Drosophila melanogaster: one gene and its partners. Changing the gene in region 2 together with the main gene of any one other region gives a genetic interaction. Each region holds a gene or a part of one and is shown on either strand. Other genes may lie near its edges.

Evidence for each region.
Region 1: of Decay (region 2) and Atg9, changing one suppresses a phenotype caused by changing the other (phenotypic suppression), as found in Drosophila melanogaster (one study listed by BioGRID).
Region 3: of Decay (region 2) and Atg7, changing one suppresses a phenotype caused by changing the other (phenotypic suppression), as found in Drosophila melanogaster (one study listed by BioGRID).
Region 4: of Decay (region 2) and Der-1, changing one suppresses a phenotype caused by changing the other (phenotypic suppression), as found in Drosophila melanogaster (one study listed by BioGRID).

Annotation. Positions count from the first base shown.
Region 1 is NT_033778.4:16,292,694-16,297,747, forward strand, and holds Atg9 (Autophagy-related 9), read left to right. Parts: upstream 1-1,706; 5' UTR 1,707-1,827; coding exon 1,828-4,365; coding exon of another isoform or gene 4,366-4,386; 3' UTR 4,387-4,539; downstream 4,540-5,054. Other genes in the region: CG7747 (uncharacterized protein), read right to left, coding at 1-31, 90-241, 296-1,250, 1,310-1,341.
Region 2 is NT_033777.3:16,498,548-16,502,858, reverse strand, and holds Decay (death executioner caspase related to Apopain/Yama), read left to right. Parts: upstream 1-1,808; 5' UTR 1,809-1,855; coding exon 1,856-2,186; intron 2,187-2,763; coding exon 2,764-3,096; intron 3,097-3,401; coding exon 3,402-3,664; 3' UTR 3,665-3,801; downstream 3,802-4,311. Other genes in the region: Gr89a (gustatory receptor 89a), read left to right, coding at 3,900-4,311.
Region 3 is NT_033778.4:18,619,935-18,626,571, reverse strand, and holds Atg7 (Autophagy-related 7), read left to right. Parts: upstream 1-1,527; 5' UTR 1,528-1,612; coding exon 1,613-1,809; intron 1,810-1,865; coding exon 1,866-2,387; intron 2,388-2,444; coding exon 2,445-2,657; intron 2,658-2,788; coding exon 2,789-2,933; intron 2,934-2,994; coding exon 2,995-3,342; intron 3,343-3,402; coding exon 3,403-3,567; intron 3,568-3,585; exon of another isoform or gene 3,586-3,641; coding exon of another isoform or gene 3,642-3,927; intron 3,928-3,983; coding exon of another isoform or gene 3,984-4,571; intron 4,572-4,688; coding exon of another isoform or gene 4,689-4,780; exon of another isoform or gene 4,781-5,031; intron 5,032-5,239; coding exon 5,240-5,533; intron 5,534-5,616; coding exon 5,617-5,733; intron 5,734-5,797; coding exon 5,798-5,851; 3' UTR 5,852-6,106; downstream 6,107-6,637. Other genes in the region: Sec6 (secretory 6), read right to left, coding at 1-192, 258-1,229; CG5335 (uncharacterized protein), read right to left, coding at 3,642-3,927, 3,984-4,571, 4,689-4,780.
Region 4 is NT_033779.5:1,972,267-1,975,953, forward strand, and holds Der-1 (Derlin-1), read left to right. Parts: upstream 1-1,690; 5' UTR 1,691-1,969; coding exon 1,970-2,214; intron 2,215-2,297; coding exon 2,298-2,552; intron 2,553-2,614; coding exon 2,615-2,725; intron 2,726-2,794; coding exon 2,795-2,921; 3' UTR 2,922-3,147; downstream 3,148-3,687. UniProt on the Drosophila melanogaster protein: May be involved in the degradation process of specific misfolded endoplasmic reticulum (ER) luminal proteins.

The DNA of each region.
Region 1 (5,054 bases), on a different chromosome or scaffold from region 2:
GAGATGTTTGCAAGAGCGATAGGTGATAAAGCTACGAAACAGCGTATACTTGCAAAAGCATTGAAAAAATGTCACTTTGTGGTACTTACAACTGAGAGCCATTGGTGTTGGGTCCCGAATTGGCCATTGATAGCACTCCTCGGCCCGTGTGCGTAAGATTCGGCTTAAACTCGTCCTCAAACTTCTTGCCCCAAATGGACTCGCCACCAGAACCACTTCCAGTGGGATCACCACCTTGCACCTGTGGATAAAACCATAGTAAATTAAAGTTTCTCTCAAAAGAGATCGTACTTACAATAAAATTCCTTATGGACCGGTGAAACATAACATTATTGTAGTAACCATTGGCGCAATGCTTGATGAAGTTATCGCAGGCTCGAGGAGTTTGATCGCAGAAGAGCTCCAGGTTGAGAGGGCCAAGGTTCGTATTTAAACGAACGTAGCCCTTCTTTTTTACCCGCTCGTACTTGACCAAATCATCATCTATGATAGCCGCCTCTATTTGGGAAACGGGCACCATGGCGGTAGACGTAAAACTGGCCGCCACCGCTCCAGTTGAATAGTGAGCTGCGTTGAACTTGTCAGCTGTACGCTTCGAAGTGGAGGCCTCCTCTTCCGCTGGCTGATAGTCCTGCTGCAGCTGTTCCAGCGTCTCCTTGGTCTCCAGATTCATGGTCTTAATGCGGCCGCTGGCTGGATTCTTTCTCTCTTGCTGCTCTTCTTCCGTCAGGACTCGTAGATTCTTCTTAATATGATAGAAGGTCGAGATGTCGTACTTTTCCAGCTTCTGAGGATCTTGTATTGTGATGATATCCTTACGCTGGAATGGCGTGTCATCCACCAGATCCTTCCAGTTCTTTGTCTTAATGTTCAGCTGGTCGATTGCCTCCCAGCAGTATACATTTCCAGTTGTGGCCACCGCCACGATGTGCGAGTTCTTGCTGAAGGGCTTGAACAAGGCGGGGCAGTGGTACTCATCGTTTGCATTCCTGTGGAAGTTCAGCTTCACCAATGACTTGGAGTCCATCTTCTGCCCGGTGATGGGGTTCACCTTAAAGGTCTTGAGAAACTTAAGAATGGCCTCGTACTCGAACACATTGCCCTGTAGATCGCAGTAGGGCATCTCGTAGGGCGCCATCGTAATGCAGCAGTGCTCGAATGGCAGCCGCTTGAACTTGACATGGTCGTTCTCCAAGGATTCCACTTTTTTGCCGCCATACAGCTCACTCCACTCCGTGTACGTGAGGTACCTGTTAAAGCAATGGGTAGTCTTCATTTCCATAACTCGCTGGATGTGCTAAATACTTACATTTTGTCCTTTTGATGCTGCCTTTTACCCATCTTGGCTGTTTGTTTTTTTAAATTAAATTTGCAATAAAGTAAGAGCTACAAATAGTTTGTTTACAAATGCGGGAGAGAACTGCCAACTCTGTGCAGATTTATGTTGATGGATATCTAGGCTGTTCACACTTCGGGTACCATAAACAAAAGTATCGAGTATTTCAAAAAGTTAAAAACGAATATAAAAACAAATAACAAGAAAAATGCAAATTTAATTATTTATAAGTATTAATTTTATAAGATACCTTTGATTCTCCAATGTGTGTTATTTAGAGATGCCCTGGCAGTGTGAACACTGCACATTGGGCGCTGCAAGAGGTTCGCCTTACTTATTCATTACCCAGTATTTTGACGTTGGCCAACACTTCTCTTAGGAGAGTCAGCTGTTTGCTGAGAAGGTTCAGCAGAATCAAACAACAAAGAATTTTCCAACTTATACTATACAGCGATATAAATAGTCAGAACGGTTGACCTTGACGTTGGGCGATGTCTAGCCCACATATCAACTACCGCTCCCTGGCCGAGGAGGCGGCCAGTCCGTTCCTGGAGCACCATCCCTCCACAGGCCAAGGCCCATCCAAAACACAAGACGCAAAAGCGAACGCAGCTGCTGCGCATTTAGACCCCCTCGGTGAACACGGGCTGGAGCAGCCGCTGGATGAGCACGACACCGAGCATGAGGGCGAGGACACGCCTCGAAACAGTGGCGTCATGATCCACATGGTTCCGGAGACGGGGCGTGCGCGGTGGAACCACATCGAGGACCTTGACTCGTTCTTCTCGCGAATGTATCAGTACCAGCAGAAGCACGGATTCACAGTGATTGTAGTGGACGAAATGCTACAGGTTCTGGAGTTTGGTTTCGTCGTCTGGCTACTTGCCTTTGTGATGCACTGCGTCCGATTTGACGTGCTCTTTGGGGACACCCCTCCAGGGGGACTTAACCCCAACAAGACAACTTTATCCGATGTGATGTACCCCACAGGCGAGTGCTTAGCCAACTTCACTTGGGTCACGTACCTGGTTGTGTTCATAGCCGCTATCTATTTGGGCATAAGGCTTCTGAAAATGGTGTACCATATTACCCAGTACGCCGATATAAAGAGATTCTACAACTCTGCGCTTCATATCGAGGATTCGGATCTGGACAACTTTACGTGGCACGAGGTGCAACAGCGGATTCGTCGCGTCCAGGCCGAACAGCATATGTGCATCGACAAGGAGTCGCTTACGGAATTGGACATCTATCACCGAGTTCTGCGCTTCAAGAACTACCTAGTGGCACTGATGAACAAGCAACTGCTGCCTGTAAGGTTCCACATACCGCTGTATGGCGAAGTGGTCTCGCTGAGTAGAGGTATGTTGTTCAACATTGACTTCATCTTGTTTCGCGGCCCTGGATCTCCCTTCCAGAACAATTGGCAGCTGCGTGATGAGTTTGCGGTAAGAAGCAATCAAACGGAGCTGGCGCAGCGACTCTCCAAACTGATATTGGGGGTGGCGTTGTTAAATTTGGTCCTAGCGCCTGTGATCTTCGTATGGCAACTTATCTACTTCAGTTTCTCCTATGCGAACATTCTTCGTAAGGAGCCTGGTGCCCTTGGCCTGCGTACATGGTCCAATTACGGCCGCCTCTACCTGCGCCACTTTAATGAACTGGACCACGAACTAGATGCCAGGCTGAATCGGGCATATGACTACGCGGACCGCTATCTCAACTCCTTTTCCTCGCCACTGGCCGCTGTGATAGCCAAAAACCTACTCTTTATCAGTGGAGGACTACTACTTCTAATCCTTGCATTGGGCATTTACGAGGAACACGTCTTCCAGGTGGAGCATTTGCTTGCCATCCTTGCAGGGCTCGGCGCCATAGGTGTGGTCTGCAGAACTCTAATACCGGATGAGAATCTCGTTTGGTGCCCAGAGCAGCTAATGACCGCCATTCTGGCGCACGTTCACTACCTGCCCTCCGAGTGGCGGCAGCAGGCGCACACGACAAAGGTTCGCCAGGAGTTTAGCAACTTCTTTCAGTTTAAGGCTGGCTACCTACTCAGCGAAATCTTCAGTCCCTTCGTCACACCCTTCGTGCTGATCTTTGTGTTCAGGCCAAAGGCCATAGAGCTGGTGCGTTTCTTCAGGACGTTCACCGTATCCGTGCGAGGAGTGGGCAACGTATGCTCCTTTGCCCAGATGGATGTTCGCAAGCATGGCAATCCCGACTGGCAGTTAACCAGCGAACTGGAGGAGATGACCCGGGCTACAGCTCAACAGCCGCAGCAGGAGCCACAGCAGCAAAGTTTGGCCGGCGGCAAAACGGAGATGTCGCTTCTTCGCTTCACCCTGAACAATCCCGAGTGGCAGATGCCCAAGGAGGCCAAGCAGTTCCTGCGCGGCGTTAGAGAGCACGCCGTTGGTGAACTAGTCCAGGCCAAGACGTCGATGGTGCAGGAGAACCCGCTGACCAACAGCCTCATCTCATTTGGCACCATGGGAGCGGATTATTGTTCCATTGCGAACTCTGTGCTGACCGCACAGGTGACGCCCCAGCAACTGGAGATTTCGCAGTCGTTGCGTCCGGGTCTAGGACCGGTATCTGGAGGATTCCCCGTCGCAGCCAGCGACTTCCGCCAGATGTTGCAGCAGAATCTGTCCGCCAGTGTCGGCCCGCTGGACAGCATGCGCCGATTGCGCCTCAGCCGGGCTGAAGGCCGCTTGGAGGGTCCGACGGATACACTGCTCTACGGACTCTGTGGTGTGGACCCGCGCGTGGGCAGCACTCCCTTGAATGTGGGCGTGGCCGACATGTGCCTCAGTGCCCTCTATTTGCACGAGCTGAACCAGCAGAAGCGCCAAGCGCGCCAGTCTCGCATCGACGAGGCCGAGGACGAGCGTCCTGGTACGAGCCATTGGCCACCGCGACCACCAGCTGCTCCGTCGGCTGATACTGGCTTCGGCTCCCGCCATACCGTGATTACCTCAAAGGCTGCCGAGAGCACGCCGCTTTTGGGTAGCATCCGCTCATAGCAGCGGCCAGAGTGGATCTAACCACCTGTAGAGCTAAGGACCACCCATTCTGCTATTAGTGATTAACCTAAATTTTAAAGTGTAAACGAACGAACGACGTCGTCTAGTGCGTAGCTAAACTAATCTGAAACTAAGCTAAACTAAACGAGAAGCAATAAACATAAATGCATTATCAAATTGATCAGCTTTATTATTTCAAAGGAAATTTCGCTAGATAATAACTAAATCTATTAGTGTGTAGTAGTTGTGATTACCCATTACCCATATTTACATATATATATATGTATAAACTATTTACCTGGTTTGATTATAATGGCTTGTAAATCCTAAGCATTATCCGTTGTGTATCCTGTGTACAACAACTGAAAGGAGACACCATAAAAAAAATCCATTTTCATTGTGAAGATTATATTTAATGTCTTTACGGCTTATCCCGATCTTAGCTCTCCGGGATGTGGGAATGCCAGCTCCATCAGCACTGATGGATGGTCCCCATTTGTAGGCATTGTTGGCACACCACATCCACCTGGTCCAGAGATCCAGATGCGAGTGGCTGAGGAGAACGCATCCAGCTGTGCTGCAGCGCCTCGTGTGTCACTTGCCACACACGAACGCCATTTGGCGATTGGTGTTGATGGCCAATGCGGCGAGCAGAGACCAAAGACTGGAGGAGATCGGGGCGCACAGAG
Region 2 (4,311 bases):
CCTCAGAAATGCGAATTTTACCGATTTCCCGAATTTTTGTCCGACACGTAAACACGTCCGCACTGGGCAACATATACAACGCTTTTGGCGTCGCTGTTTTGGTTTTGAATTCGGTTTCAGCTCGAGCGGGTTCATGTTCGAAGCGAGCAAGTTCGAGTTCGTATCGAACTTAAGAGAGCCAACTAAAAGAGTGGGCTAAGAGTTTAAGGAACTGTTTATATATGTTATATGTCTAATTGGAAATTCATTGGCAGCAATTTATTAAAATAGTAAAAGTAATTTGTCATTTCTTGAAAAAAACAACTAAATTTGTTACAAATAATTATTGTTGTAAGGTAAAAAAAGAAGAAAGACGGAGAAAGCAGCAAAAAAACACGATCAACCGGTGGGAGTAAGTATACTGCACTTACAGAAATGACCTCAGAATTACGTAGTTATAGTGTTTAAATTACTTAATTACTACAAATATAAGCAGAAGCACTAATTGCGAGTTTTGTAAATAAATTGATTGATTTCAATATACCTATGTAATAAGTTTACTACATTATTTCTGTAAATTAAACTGTTTTAATGTAGTTAATAACAAAGGTATTAAAAAAACTTTAGGTGTCAAATTTCAATGTATGTATGTATGTACATACATATTTACATCCCCGGGAACCTACAATTTAAAAAGATAAGAAACGGGAATGCATAAATTTCAGGTGAAACTTTGCATTGTTATTCCATAAAAGTGCGTCAGATAAATCATTTCATTTTGAGCATTCAGCAGCAAGTGCATTTTCGGAATCCCGCCCCAATAAATCTCTCCTTTCTCTTCACCTTTTGGAGCTGCAAGATAAGAGCAGATTTCAGGTCACTGGAGGGGCAACATCTGCTTTCGGTGGAAGGCACCTCGAGAATCAAAGGCGATTGTTCTGGTTCTGAAAAGCCGGCTAAACAACTTTCCTGCTCCCCCACCCACTGTTCTTCATTTTCTTTTTTTGGCTCTTCAGCTGACAGAAATATTGATGTCGCTAATTGTAATTACATATCAATTATAATTGGCATCCAATCAGGGTCGTAGGAGCAGCTTTATTAATTAGCCGCAATTGTTGTTATGCGCCACAAGTTTCCAGCTCTCTCTTATGTTTCTCTCTCTTAAGCGCTGAGGTACATTTTTTGGCTGCACCGCAATAAAAGATTTCTTTATATTGTTGTAATTTAAAGTGAAATTGAAACTAACTTAACTTTGACATATTGTTTTTATATCACATTAAAATGCCCGTAGCTAACTGTTCGAATATTACACAATAAATTACTAAATCGTATAGAACTTTCTCTCAGTCTGCGGTACACTTTATAACGGTACTCCTTCGACTTAAGGACGCCATACTCATTTCCGGTTTCCGTTACTTTGTGTGCGTGAAATTTTGAATTGCGTGGCAAAGTTTGCCGCCCATTGCCGCTTTTTTGCGCATCTGAATTTTATTGAAAACACATTAAGAAATCCCCAGTAGCAGCGACACTTTCGCCGGAAGTTGCCAATTTCCCTGACGAGCGCCCACTTTTGTGGGCGTGAACCCGTCGGGGAAATCAAATTGTCTGGTGCAATGGCAAAGGGAATTGTATTTTGCTACCAATAAACGTAACTTCCCCTCGAGCAGGCTAATCAACGTTGGGCAAGAGCCCGAAAAATACCGCGGCGAGCGAGAGAAGAATCCACCCCAGCAAGCTCAAGGTGATAAGACGGCTGCATTGATTAGATAAGATGTTAGGCGAACGGGAGCGAGAGCTTTTTTTTGTCGTTTGATAGGTGAAAACTTCCAATCGCGCTTAGTCACAGGTTGCTGCCAAAGCGCGCGGACGGTCAGAAATGGACGACACCGACTTCTCGCTCTTCGGGCAGAAGAACAAGCACAAGAAGGACAAGGCGGATGCCACCAAGATCGCCCATACGCCCACATCGGAGCTGGACCTCAAAAGGATCATAATCTCGCGCCCCACCAACGAGGACACATACGAGAATTGCGCGCGAGCGGGCATTGCGCTAATCCTGAACCACAAGGATGTCAAGGGACAGAAGCAGCGCGTGGGCACCGAACGGGATCGCGATGACATGGAGGCGACGCTGCAGGGATTCGGATTCGATGTACGCACCTTCGACGATCTGACCTTCTCCGAGATCAACGACACGCTCAAAGAGGGTGAGTTATCCACGAGTTCTATTGTTGCAACAAATGGCAGACAAAAACACAGAACCATACATATGTACTCAAAGTTAAGTTATCTACCAACGGAATCAAGTTTATTTTCGTATTCCACCGTAAATACGAGGTAATGTCTTTCTTTACGAGTAGTAAAATATATTTACTCCCTTGTTAAACAAAAGAGAAAACATTTAATATGCAACTTAAAAATCAATGTGATAGTCATCAAAATCTAGCTGCACTCAATCGTGTCCATCGAAACTGGTGACATATTTCAAACACATATGTATATCTTATCATTATCAAAACAAAGTCACTATTTTTACGACTGCAATAATTATGAGATAAAGACAGTAATCTGTTGGTCTGATCAATCCGAAGGCAGCAAAAAAATATTTTTTGTTTTGAGAAAATAACAACCGTTTTATATGTTGAAAATTGTATAGTGCATTGATTATTGGAACGCGTCTTTTTGTATAGTTTTCTTTGAAGAGAAAAGTGTTTTGAAGCAAGTCTCGATTTTTATTATAATTATTTTTCTACTTACTAAAGATGTGAATCTACTTCATTTCAGTTGCTCGGGAGGATCACAGTCAAAACGACTGCTTTGTGTTGGCGGTGATGTCACACGGCACCGAAGGCAAGGTCTACGCTAAGGACATGTCATATCCTGTGGAGCGCCTTTGGAATCCCTTCCTCGGCGACAACTGCAAGACGCTCAAGAACAAACCCAAACTCTTCTTCATCCAGGCCTGTCGCGGAGCCAACCTGGAAAAGGCAGTCGAGTTCTCCAGCTTCGCTGTGATGACCAGGGAACTGGTCCCGGAGCCCGCTGCCGCCGTTCAGCCCATCACCTATGCCATTCCCAGCACGGCGGACATCCTCGTCTTCTACTCCACATTCGACAGTGAGTGTTGGCAAAATGTATTAATCATATTTAGTTTCACAATTAATTGAAACTTGTCCAGGCTTCGAAAAGCTTTGAACGTCAATCAAATCGGGTTATTTCTGGGTTGAAAAGGATTGTGTTCCTATCAATGAATTAGAATACTTAATGCATACTTAAAGCACTATTTTGGAAGATACTTGTTCTTAGTCCAAAAGAAAGAAATAGTTTTTTGGCTATATGAATATAATTTCTATATTTATCTTGCTATTAAGTTTCCATTTCAAATATTTCCTGATTGTAACTTCTTCCTTTCTTCCTTTCAGAATTCTTCTCATTCCGTAACGTTGACGATGGCTCCTGGTTCATCCAGAGCCTGTGCCGCGTCCTCGACCAGGCCGCCGCCAACGAAGCTGCCACGCCGGAGGGCGTCGAGCTACTCCGCCTGCTGACCGCAGTGAATCGGAAGGTGGCCTACGAGTACCAGTCGAATACGAAGAACGAGGCCCTCAACCAGATGAAGGAAATGCCCAACTTTATGTCGACACTGACCAAAACATTCCAGCTGCGTGTTAAGCCCAAGACCTGAGCTCCGGTCACGAAATCAGCGACAATCCAATCGGGACTGTGAGTCAGTCCGCGGGTCAAGAACGAGGGACGCCACAACTCTTTCATTTAATCGTAATGTTTGCAATTTGTTAATAGAAATACATATCGATGGCACTTATCTAGAATTGGCTTAGTGCCTTTGGGACTGCGATAGCGAACTGGCTGACAAGTGAATAGATAGAAGTCGCGTTTCCGGGAGGTCAGTTGCCCGGAAAATGTTGCGATTTCCGCATGTCTGCGGTCTTTGTTTGCTGCTTAAATATTGGCAGATTTTGGCCTTGGCCCCGTTTCGGACTTCCGAGCCAATGGTCGCCAGGTGCCAGCGATGGATGACCTTGATTGCGGTCTTTAGATGGCTACTACTCACATCAATGGCGCCCTTTGTTCTCTGGAAAAGTGCTGCCATGTATGAGGCCACTAATGTGCGGCACTCGATGGTCTTTAAGACAATCGCTTTGGCCACCATGACGGGTGATGTCTGCATTTCACTAGCTCTGTTGGGAAACCACCTTTGGAATCGCCGGGAGTTGGCCAATTTGGTAAATGACTTGGCCAGATTGCATCGTCGGAGGAGACTGAGCTGGTGGTCCACATTGTTCCTCTGGCTTAAGTTGCTACTCTCCCTCT
Region 3 (6,637 bases), on a different chromosome or scaffold from region 2:
CATATTTTGCAGATATTCATCTTCCAGCGCTTTGAGATGTTCCGGACGCAGCAGAGTACCTATCTGTCGGTGTACATCCACATTAAGATCCGGATGGGACATCAGCTCGACGCCAGGATAGGTGTGTGTAACCCAAGCCATCATTGATACATATTCATTGCCCTCCAAGCCCGAGCGCACAATGTTGTCAAGCTGGAATTAGTAAATATTAGTGGTATAAAAACATTAATCAATTTAAATGATTGACGATTACTCACATAGCTAGAAAGTCCTTCGTGATAGAACTTGACATATTCGCCGAAAATGTCGTAGTGCGGCGGGAAGCAGGGCACACAAAGGGACTTCACAACGCGCAGATCCTCGAGAATGATTTGACGCAATATCTCCAGGTCTCGTACTAACCACATCTTGTTATCGGCCCGCTCCTCTAGCTTGGATCCCTCTATGCGCGTTATCACCGACTGTTGTAGCACGTCCATGATCATGCGGCGCCAAGCCTTTGGTCTTCCAGGCGGCAGGAATCCTGTGACCTTTTGCTGCTGCAACGCGAACTGGTCGTTTTTCTCTTCCCGCTCTATGATGCGTAGGGCGGTAACGATGATGGTGGGCTTCTTGCGCAGAGTGTTCAGCGTGCGGCTAAGAATGAGTCGCAGCTTTTTCTCCAGCTCTTGGGATACCGTGTCAACCTTCTCGAAGTGACGCTTTAGGGTGATCTTGTCGGACGCATGCTGCTTGGGCTGCTTGTGCAGTTCGTAGAGAAGATCATCCCGCGAATTCTCCAGATCCGCCAGGCACTGATGGGCATTAAGCAGCTTATCATCCTCGATCAGCGCCATCGTCTTTTGTACGCTGGCATCTACGTTGAAGATGTGCTTCAGATTCTCCATGGCGGTGGCGTACTGGGAGTGCTTTGTGTTTTCCTCCCGCACAACTTCCAAAGCGTCGTAGACTTCGGGAACGCCCCTCAGCAGGCGCTCCACCTCGTCCATTCGACGCCTTACCTCGCGCACGTCCTGCATGCAGGTCTCCAACTGCTTAAGTCCCACCCTGACCCCGTCCAGCTGTCCTTGCATTCCGGTCTTAAGGAGCGCCTCAACGGATGCCTTCTTCCGGGCGATTCGGTGGCGATATTGTTCCACCTTCTCCAGTTGACCTGGTCGCTGCAACATGTTCTGTATGTCCTTGAGCGCTGCCTGGCGAGCCTGCTCCTCCAGCTGCTGTAAATCCATCTTCAATTTATTTGGATCACTTTCAGTCTCTGTTTTGGTCAATCTTCGTCAGCAGTGGAAGTGCTGGTGTGACCATATAGCAGTGCGGCTGACAATCTCACTTCCAAGAACTACAGTGTAACTTGACAATAAGCTATATTCTACTCTTAAAATTATTATAGTTTTATTGTGTCTTAAAATTTTTATTTTATTCTTCAAGCTTAAAAAATTATGAAGTTAAAGTATATCTTTTAGTTTGCCAAAGCAACAGAGGATTCGACCTAAGTATGGAAAACTGTACTTATCGATAAGTTATCTTCTCATTGGTCTATCGCCATCGAGAGCTTTGTTTGTTTATAATTTGCAGCCAAACGTTTGAACGTAAACAACGCCCTAAGCAAAACATGAGCACGGAAAAAGAGATAATTTTGCAATTTGCTCCGTGGGAATCTTTTGTGTCGCCCACTTTCTGGCACAAGCTAGCGGAGCTTAAGCTCGACCACGATCGCCTGTCCGACTCGAAACGCTCCATTACTGGACACTACACAAATCGTAATGCAAGTGGATGCCTTTTGGAAGTAGACTACACGGCCTACAACAGGTGAGCTTGAAAACTACGAGTTTGATGAAACCAGCGCTTGACCACCCACATTCCAGAATGGCAAAGCCTCCAAAATTCAGCCATTCCGCTATAGGCACCATCTACAATAAGAACACAATCGAAGAGTTCAAGGCCCTGGACAAATTACAACTGCTGGCCGATGAGGGCAAGGAACTGCTGGCTGATATGTGCAGTGGTGGCGCCTTGAGAGATCCCAGTCTATTGACCCGGTTCTTTGTTCTCTCCTTTGCCGATTTAAAGTGTCACAGCTACTACTATTGGTTCGCCTTTCCGTGCCCGCTGACGCCCACCTTAAAGCTTCAGGGAGCCGTCCAAAAACTGCGGGACTTGCCCAATAGTAGTAGCTATATAATGGCTCTAAAGGCCTTACCCACTGAGTCACAGAACTTCTTCATTCTGTATGCTAATGTGGAGAAGAACATTTTCGAAGCCCGTAGTTTAAGTTCCCTTGACGATAAAAATGTTGAGTTCTGTTATTTTGGTTTTGCTGATCCCAGCGAGTATGAGCATCCAGCTTGGATAATGCGAAACTATGCTGCCTTTCTGCTTCAGCAATGGTAGGTAGGAATAGCAATGTTATGATATCAGTTCACACAGTTGTCGGTCTATTACAGTCCCTCTTTTGTTGGAAAACCATTGAAGTTTCTTGGCCTGCGACACAATCAACAAATGAACATCGATGACAGCCTTGTATGGAAGGTGATTCAGACTGAAGCTTGCGATCTTAGCCAAAGCGAAAATATAAAGTTCGTGGGCTGGGAGCTAAATAAAAATGGCAAAATGGGGCCAAGAATGGTGTGCATGAGGGACAGCATGGATCCAGCCAAGTAAGTTAATAGCTATAGACTTAAATGATAAGAACTATCAGTTCATTGAGGTGTGTCCTTAGTGTTAGCTACCACGACAGTTGAAAGTAACTTGTTTATTATTTATAATTTAACAATATTTCTTTCCGTAGACTCGCTGAGAACTCTGTAAACCTGAACCTGAAACTAATGAAGTGGCGCCTTGTTCCCGATCTCAATCTCGAAATCATCTCCCAAACAAAATGCCTGCTCTTTGGAGCTGGTACTTTAGGATGCGCTGTAGCTAGAAATCTGCTGGTGTGCTTTTATACGAAATGATTTAACTGATCTGATAACTAATAGTTTATTTATTTTGTAGTCCTGGGGATTTAAGCACATAACCCTTTTGGACAGCGGCAAGGTTGGGTTCTCTAATCCAGTGCGTCAGAATCTCTACACGCATGCAGATGCTGTGGCAGGCAATCGGATGAAGGCGACTACAGCTGCTCAGAGATTGAAAGAGATCAATCCGTCTGCGGAAACGGCGGGTTATGTGCTGGAGATTCCCATGCCTGGGCATACTATTGGAGAATCGCTTCTAGCCCAGACGAAGGAGCATTTGAAGGTTATCGAAAAGCTTGTGCAGGACCATGATGTCATCTTTCTGCTCACAGATTCGCGCGAAAGCCGCTGGCTGCCCACCCTGCTTGGAGCGGCAAAGGAAAAAGTGGGAACAATCATATACTCACCTTTCAGAAGAGATGTACCTAAAATGTTTCCCTTATAGATTGTCATCAACGCAGCTTTAGGCTTTGACAGTTATCTGGTAATGCGACATGGCACTACGCGTAAGGAAGCAGGCGACGATGGCCAAGAAATCGAAGGACTTAAGTGCATTAATGGCGATCAATTAGGTTGCTACTTTTGTAACGATGTTACGGCCCCTGGAAATGTAAGTCCCATTTGTTGTATAGTTTAAGATAACATTTGTATTTTCAGACTTCATTAGTTGGGTTAACATGGTTACTAAACGCATTCGTAATCATGGCGGGAATATTTTTCGAAGCCAGCGCACGTAGGATCCCCCGTCTGCAGGTGATCCACACCAGTTATCTGCACTACCAGGCCATTTATGCTGGTCACCTTGAAACCCACTAGATTCATCATGGCATTAGGTGTGCGCCAGGTGTAGCTGAAGAAGTTATAACCGTCCACTGCAGTCAAAACCTCGCGTTCCGTAAACGCAAGCGCCAGCTTGAATTGCTGGTTAAAGACGAAGGGGAAACCTCCATGACGCTCCTCGCTTCCGAATCTATAAAAAGAATTAGTTAACGCCCAAAGAGGTACGGCATTATAAAGTTAACTTACTCAAAATTTTTGTTCATGGAATTGCGCACTACTGCCTTCTCATCGAAACGCACACTGAAGTGTAGCTCTTCGCGCTTGGTATCCGAGTCCATGAACTTGATTATGAACTGTCCCTTTTTATTCTCGAAACACCGAGCTGTAAGGACAATCACATGGCCCGGACTAAACAAAATTGGCTGATCGTTACTGAACGCCTTAAAGTAGTCCGAGGCGTGAACGGCTGGCCACGGATTTGGAAACACAGTACGATGATCCACCTGTTTAATGACTTGGATCTGATCACGGATCTCCAGAGCACGAATCGTTCCCAACGGCATGCGGTAGCGGAATCTGCAGAACTCTCGGCTATTTATCGAGATGGCAAAGCTGTCCTCGCAACAAAGAATGTAGACCAAAAAGAACTCGCCACTGACGATGGGATTGGGCAGGGTGTTGGGGTCCATGACATGGGACTCCTCCTCGCCCCAGGCGCCGTTTATCCGGGAATTTCGAACGATCACATCGTTCCGAAAATAGCATGAGAAGCGTAGCCCAATATCTGCGTTCGGATCGACCGTGCTCTTGGCCGTGCAGAGGTTAATGTGGAACCTATCCGAACCAAATGATCACAATCGATTAGTCACGTACTGATAAGAAGCCCAATTTGACAAGTAATTAGTCAGAAAACGGAAAAGCGGTCTTACATTAATGCCGGACAACACTTACCTGGCTGCTCCATCGATGGTCTTGGCCACGACCTCCAGAACATGACCAAACTCCAGCGGATGCGATAGATTGCCAGCGAATTCGGTCAACATGATTCCTTCCTGCAATTACCAATTCAACTAACTATCGCCTTTGTACTGAACAATCAAGCGCAAAATGTGTTTTATAGTTCCGTGGGAGAGTCCGGAGTTCTCCGGCTCTCCCAAATGTTAAAACTTTATCTAATCAGTGATGGGCGGAGCGGCGGGTTGCTCAAGTAACCGATACAAACGCCGAAGTTTTCTATATCTTGTGTTTTTGGTTTTTAAGCGCTGCTATTTGTTTTGTTCTCGCCCGAAGGCGTCATCTTTGTTTGCTCGGAGCATGTGTTTGTGGACACAGAAAAGCTTTCAAAAGCTCTTGATCGTACTACTGCACCGGCGTCGAATGTGCTCCAAATCACACTGAAAAAAACTCTGTATAAAAAAATCTCTTATAGACTCGCTTTATAAAGTTGTACGTACAAATTTGGATACAGATACTCATTGCATTTCGTTCTATTCCATTTTCAGTCGCTCAAAGACCGAACTTTGGATCAACAGTGCACAGTGACACGACCCGGAGTATCCAACATTGCGGCCAGCTATGCGGTGGAATTGTTGGTGGCTTTGCTGCAGCATCCTCGTAAGGAGCTGGCACCCGCCTACTATGCACAGAGTGGGCGTGGCAGGTCGGAGGAGACGGAAGAAAAGGTGCCGGAGGGTCTGCTAGGAATTTTGCCTCACTCCATCCGTGGAATGCTGTGCAACTACGAGAATATTCTGCCCGCCACTCAAAAGTTTGCTCAGTGCATAGCCTGTTCAGCGGTAAGATTTGACAATCTTTTAAAATGGTTTTGATAGCGTTTTCAATATTGTTAAAATTTTTTTTTTAATATATTCGCTTACAGGCCGTCCTAAATGAATATAAAAAAGAGGGTCATGCTTTCCTGTTTAAAACTTTTGAAACAGCCAAGTTTCTGGAGGATTTGACGGGAATCTCCGAATTCAAGCGGTTAAACAGCGAGGTTTGTTTGTTTCCTGTGTTTAATCTAATGGAGATATTTAAAAATTATTCATATTTTTGCACAGATTATCGATTTTGATGATGAAGAATTTGACATGTCCGATAGCGACGAGGATTAGGTTCCACAAAATTGGTCAAGTTTTATCTTCAAAGCAAAATATCTTAAATATGAAATTCAGCTTATTGTGGCTTTAATTTTCTGCAGCATTTATAGTTCAATGTCTATACCAAAAATGTGTGTACTTCAATGCTTTTATTCTATCTAGTCGTTAAGCAAATTGTGAATCATTCAAATGAAATTGATGTGAAAATTAGGCATAAGAAAAATGTGAATTTACTATTGAAAATTGTAATAATAAAAGTGTGAATTTACTATTGAAAATTGTTATAATAAAAGTGCTTAAGTACGGGAACAAATGTATTTCCGCCAATTTACAAGTCGCAGCCTTTAAGCTTTGTTTGTTTGTACGAAACGTGTTTCTGCTGATAAGAGCACTCATTTATAGGCGAAAATATTATTCTGATCTGAGAATTCCCATTTTTGTGGTTGACAAATACCAAAATATTGTTTTCAATTCCCGATCGGTCATTGAATATGTTATTAGCTGCATTATTCAAGGCGAAAACACGCAAACAAAGATGAATGTTCGTATAAAATTGTTTTGGGAATATGCAAATGATTTACATAGTGGGCCAGGTATGCGAAAAGAATAGTTCAAAGTTGAATAAACCTGGTTAGAAAGCCACGAACTAATCGCATATGTAAATTTGCTTATTATGTCTCGGTCAAAGTAGATGACATCCTAGAAATACGCTCACAAATGTTATACTTTAAAGAGATATGTAAAGTTAAAACTATATTTTTAGTCCAGGAATATAAAATGTTTAAATTTTCATTAAATGGT
Region 4 (3,687 bases), on a different chromosome or scaffold from region 2:
ATATTAAATAAAAGACGCTGTGAAGCAGCAGCGGAGGAGCCTTTACCTTCTCTACATAGCACGCAACGAAATGAGCGAGCACACTGAAAGAAATAAAGGGGAGTACTCATTTCATATTTGTTCTAATCCTACTAAAGCAACGAATAAAGCGCCTTCAATTGTAACTAGTGAATATAAAGACAGTGAGATATAATACAAAAGAAACTATCATTTATTATTGCTAAGTAATGATTCTTAATAGCTGCTCACCTAATTCAACTATTTGTTTGAGTGCACCTTCGTCGGCGGCAACAACAAAATGACGGAGCCAGGTGGACCGAGAGATCCAGGTGAGCTGCTGCGAGCAAAAGGCCCGGGCAAAAGGCTCAACGGGTGGGTAAATAGAATCCATCTATGTGTGCAGTATGTGTTCGCGCACCGATATGTGTGGGTGCAACTTAATGATGAGCACGAAGCACCGTTAGTGGGCGTATCAAATGGCAGGAAGCAGCGCAGTCGGCGCACAAAATGGCAGCGCATGCGTCGCACTGCTCTAGCATCCATCTTTTCGCATGGCCAATCGGTGGGTGTGTCCTCGCTCACTCACACAGGCACACACACACGCACAGTTGATTAGCCTCGACATTTTGTTACTGTTGCTCTCTCGCTGTCGCTGCATCTCTTTCGCTCCCGCTGGAAATTCAACAGGCACCCACACCAACTGTTGCCAGCTCACTCACTCCAACAGAACGACCATTCGAATGCATCGGCACTCAAAAAATATGAACTTTACTTATCGCTCAAAAACCGGCTTTTACTTTCGTTACCAAAAGTCCACCAGAAAAAAAAATTGTCTCTAAATTTTGAGACTCAATAATCTGCTTTGTGACAGTGGGGAATATTGTCCAAAATTAATCAGCACAGCGGAGTTCACTCGAAAATGCAGGATATTGGAAAAGCGCATGATTTCCAAGTTGATTAATTTCGCACCACTGCATGGCAATGTGTGTGCGTTCGTGTGTGCGTGTGAGAGAGTGAGTGCCATGGCACACGCTTCTTACCTGTCAAAAATTCCCGCATTTTTCGTTGGCTAACAAAGGCATTGCCACAAAGATACCACAAAAAGTTGCCAAAAAATACGTAACAAAATTTCCGCTATTTATTTGTGTGCTCTCGCCTGTTATGAATTAAGTGTCCTGCATGTGTGTGCGTTTCTGTCCGCTTTGTTGTTGGCCATCGCTTTGTCAGTCCTCGAAAATGTTACCTCACAAAATCACAAATTGCGGGATCAAAGGTGAAGGAGAGCGGAAGGGGCACACCGAAATAATAATGAAAATAACTTAAATCCATCAATGAGGCTGCATTTATTGACAACAAAGCAAAAAAGATGTTAAGTTTTAATGAACTGCAGTCGAAAATGGATGTTGCTTCAAATATTGCAGGGTTCCTTATAAATATTGTACAATAGATCATAAAGGATCGCATGATATTAAACGAGCATTGTGTTACCGTAATTGACTTTGTTTCTAGGAAAGTTCGGTTTTATATAAAATCAAAATGACTTGAGTTCTTTAAGAACATGTAAAAACATTTTAAACCTTATTTTTCGATATTAGTTTGATTCCTGGATATTGTAGAAAATTCTTTTTTTCTAACTTATTAATGTCAAACTCATACATAATAACAAACAACTTCATAATACCCAGTAATACTTAGAATTTCGAGACCATAAATAAAGTTTTATAAAAATTTCGAATTTATTTCAAAAGATGTTAAAAATTCAAATGCAAGAGACATTCACTGGCAAGCGCGTTCATGGCCGTTAAACCCAGCCGATAGGCACGACCCTTGCCATTCGCCCCGAGCCGGAGTCAAGTGCCATCACCAAAAAGACACGTAAAGCAACAAAAATAGAGAAAATCACTCCGCACAAAAGCAGCGAATTAATGAATTAAACAGGACACCAAAGCATACACGAGAAGTACACACAATGGACGCTGGCGTGTGGTACCGCTCGCTGCCCCGCTTCACCCGCTACTGGCTGACGGCCACCGTGGTGTTGAGCATGCTCTGCCGCTTCGATGTGATACCCCTTCATTGGCTGCATCTGGACCGATCGGCCGTTTTCAGCAAGCTGCAGCTCTGGCGCTGCATGACGTCACTGTTCGTCTTTCCCATCTCGTCGAACACGGCCTTCCACTTCCTCATCAACTGCTTCTTCATCGTTCAGTACAGGTGAGTAGTCGGCCAGCCTGGCGCAGCACAGCAACTGGTTCGTTACGTTAGGATTCCTTAGGATTCATAATCCTGCCTTGCAGCTCCAAACTGGAGAAGGATCAGTACAGCCGAAGTCCGGCTGATTACCTGTACCTGTTGATCGTGTCGGCGGTGCTGGCCAACATCGGGGGCATGATCTTCAACGTGTACTTCCTCATGGACACGCTGGTGCTGGCCATCACGTATATCTGGTGCCAGCTGAACAAGGACGTCACCGTGAGCTTCTGGTTCGGCACCAGGTTCAAGGCCATGTACCTTCCCTGGGTGCTGGCCGCCTTCGAGTTTATTTTCCACTTGTAAGTCGCGTCAGTTTATCTGCCTTATCTGCTAATTGTTATCGTATTGTAATCCGCTGCAGCTCGCTCGCCTCGCTGGTGGGCATATTCGTGGGACATGTGTACTACTTCTTCAAGTTCCAATACTCGCAGGATTTGGGCGGCACACCCCTGTTGGAAACGCCGCAGTTCTTGTAAGCATAACGAGGATAATTAACTTGTGGTGCTAGTCGATATAACCCGCACTTCTTTTTTTTGTATAGGAAGCGCCTGGTGCCAGATGTTTCCGGCGGATTCGGCGGCTTCGGACTCCCACCGGAGAGCAGAGCACCACCTAGGCAGGCGACCGAAAGTCCCTGGGGCCGGGGCATGACCTTGGGTCGCAACTGAACTCCAAGCTGAAACTCGAAACTCTCTAGACTAGACTAATTCCCCTTTTTACGGTTTGGTTTACTCTATTTTCTCACCAAGCTCTTTACTTTTCCAACTATTTTTCGATCACCACTCGATTCTCTGGCGACAGCAATAAGTTAACATGTTAAGTGGAAGGATTGCATTGTGCATTGATGAAATTATATTAAAATATGTGTGTACATAAACAACCATTAAAGAAGACAAAAAAGAATGCGGCGTTTCCCTTTGGCCAAAGCAAAACGAGTTCCTTTAGTTACATTTAAATTTATTTCGTTTAAAAGTTCTATGCTAAAAATTTTACAGCGACACGCATCGTTCAACAATATTTTGTATTACACTTTTCACTTTTCGTAGAGGGGAATTCTCTGTTTGGATGCTTCTTCCTTTTCTGTGTGTTTCTTTTTTGGACCTTGGTCGAAAGTTACAACATTCCTCTTAAGATTTGGATTTACAAAACCGACGCATAAAATACTTAACATCTATAAATCGTTAATGGTTAATCATCTGTGTGTGTGGGTGTGTGTGTGTGTGTGTGTGTGTGTGTGTGTGTGGCATGGGTCTCCTTCCGATCAAGATTAAACATGTGTGGTCCTTAGCCGAACTAGGTATCTATACAAGTGTATATTTATATGTGGCTGCGATAGTTGGGCCTTGCATTTCGAAATTCATCAGATATTTACATGTTCGGGTTCGGATTGGGTCAACTAGGGTCTATAATCTCATACAATTAAGAATCTTTCAA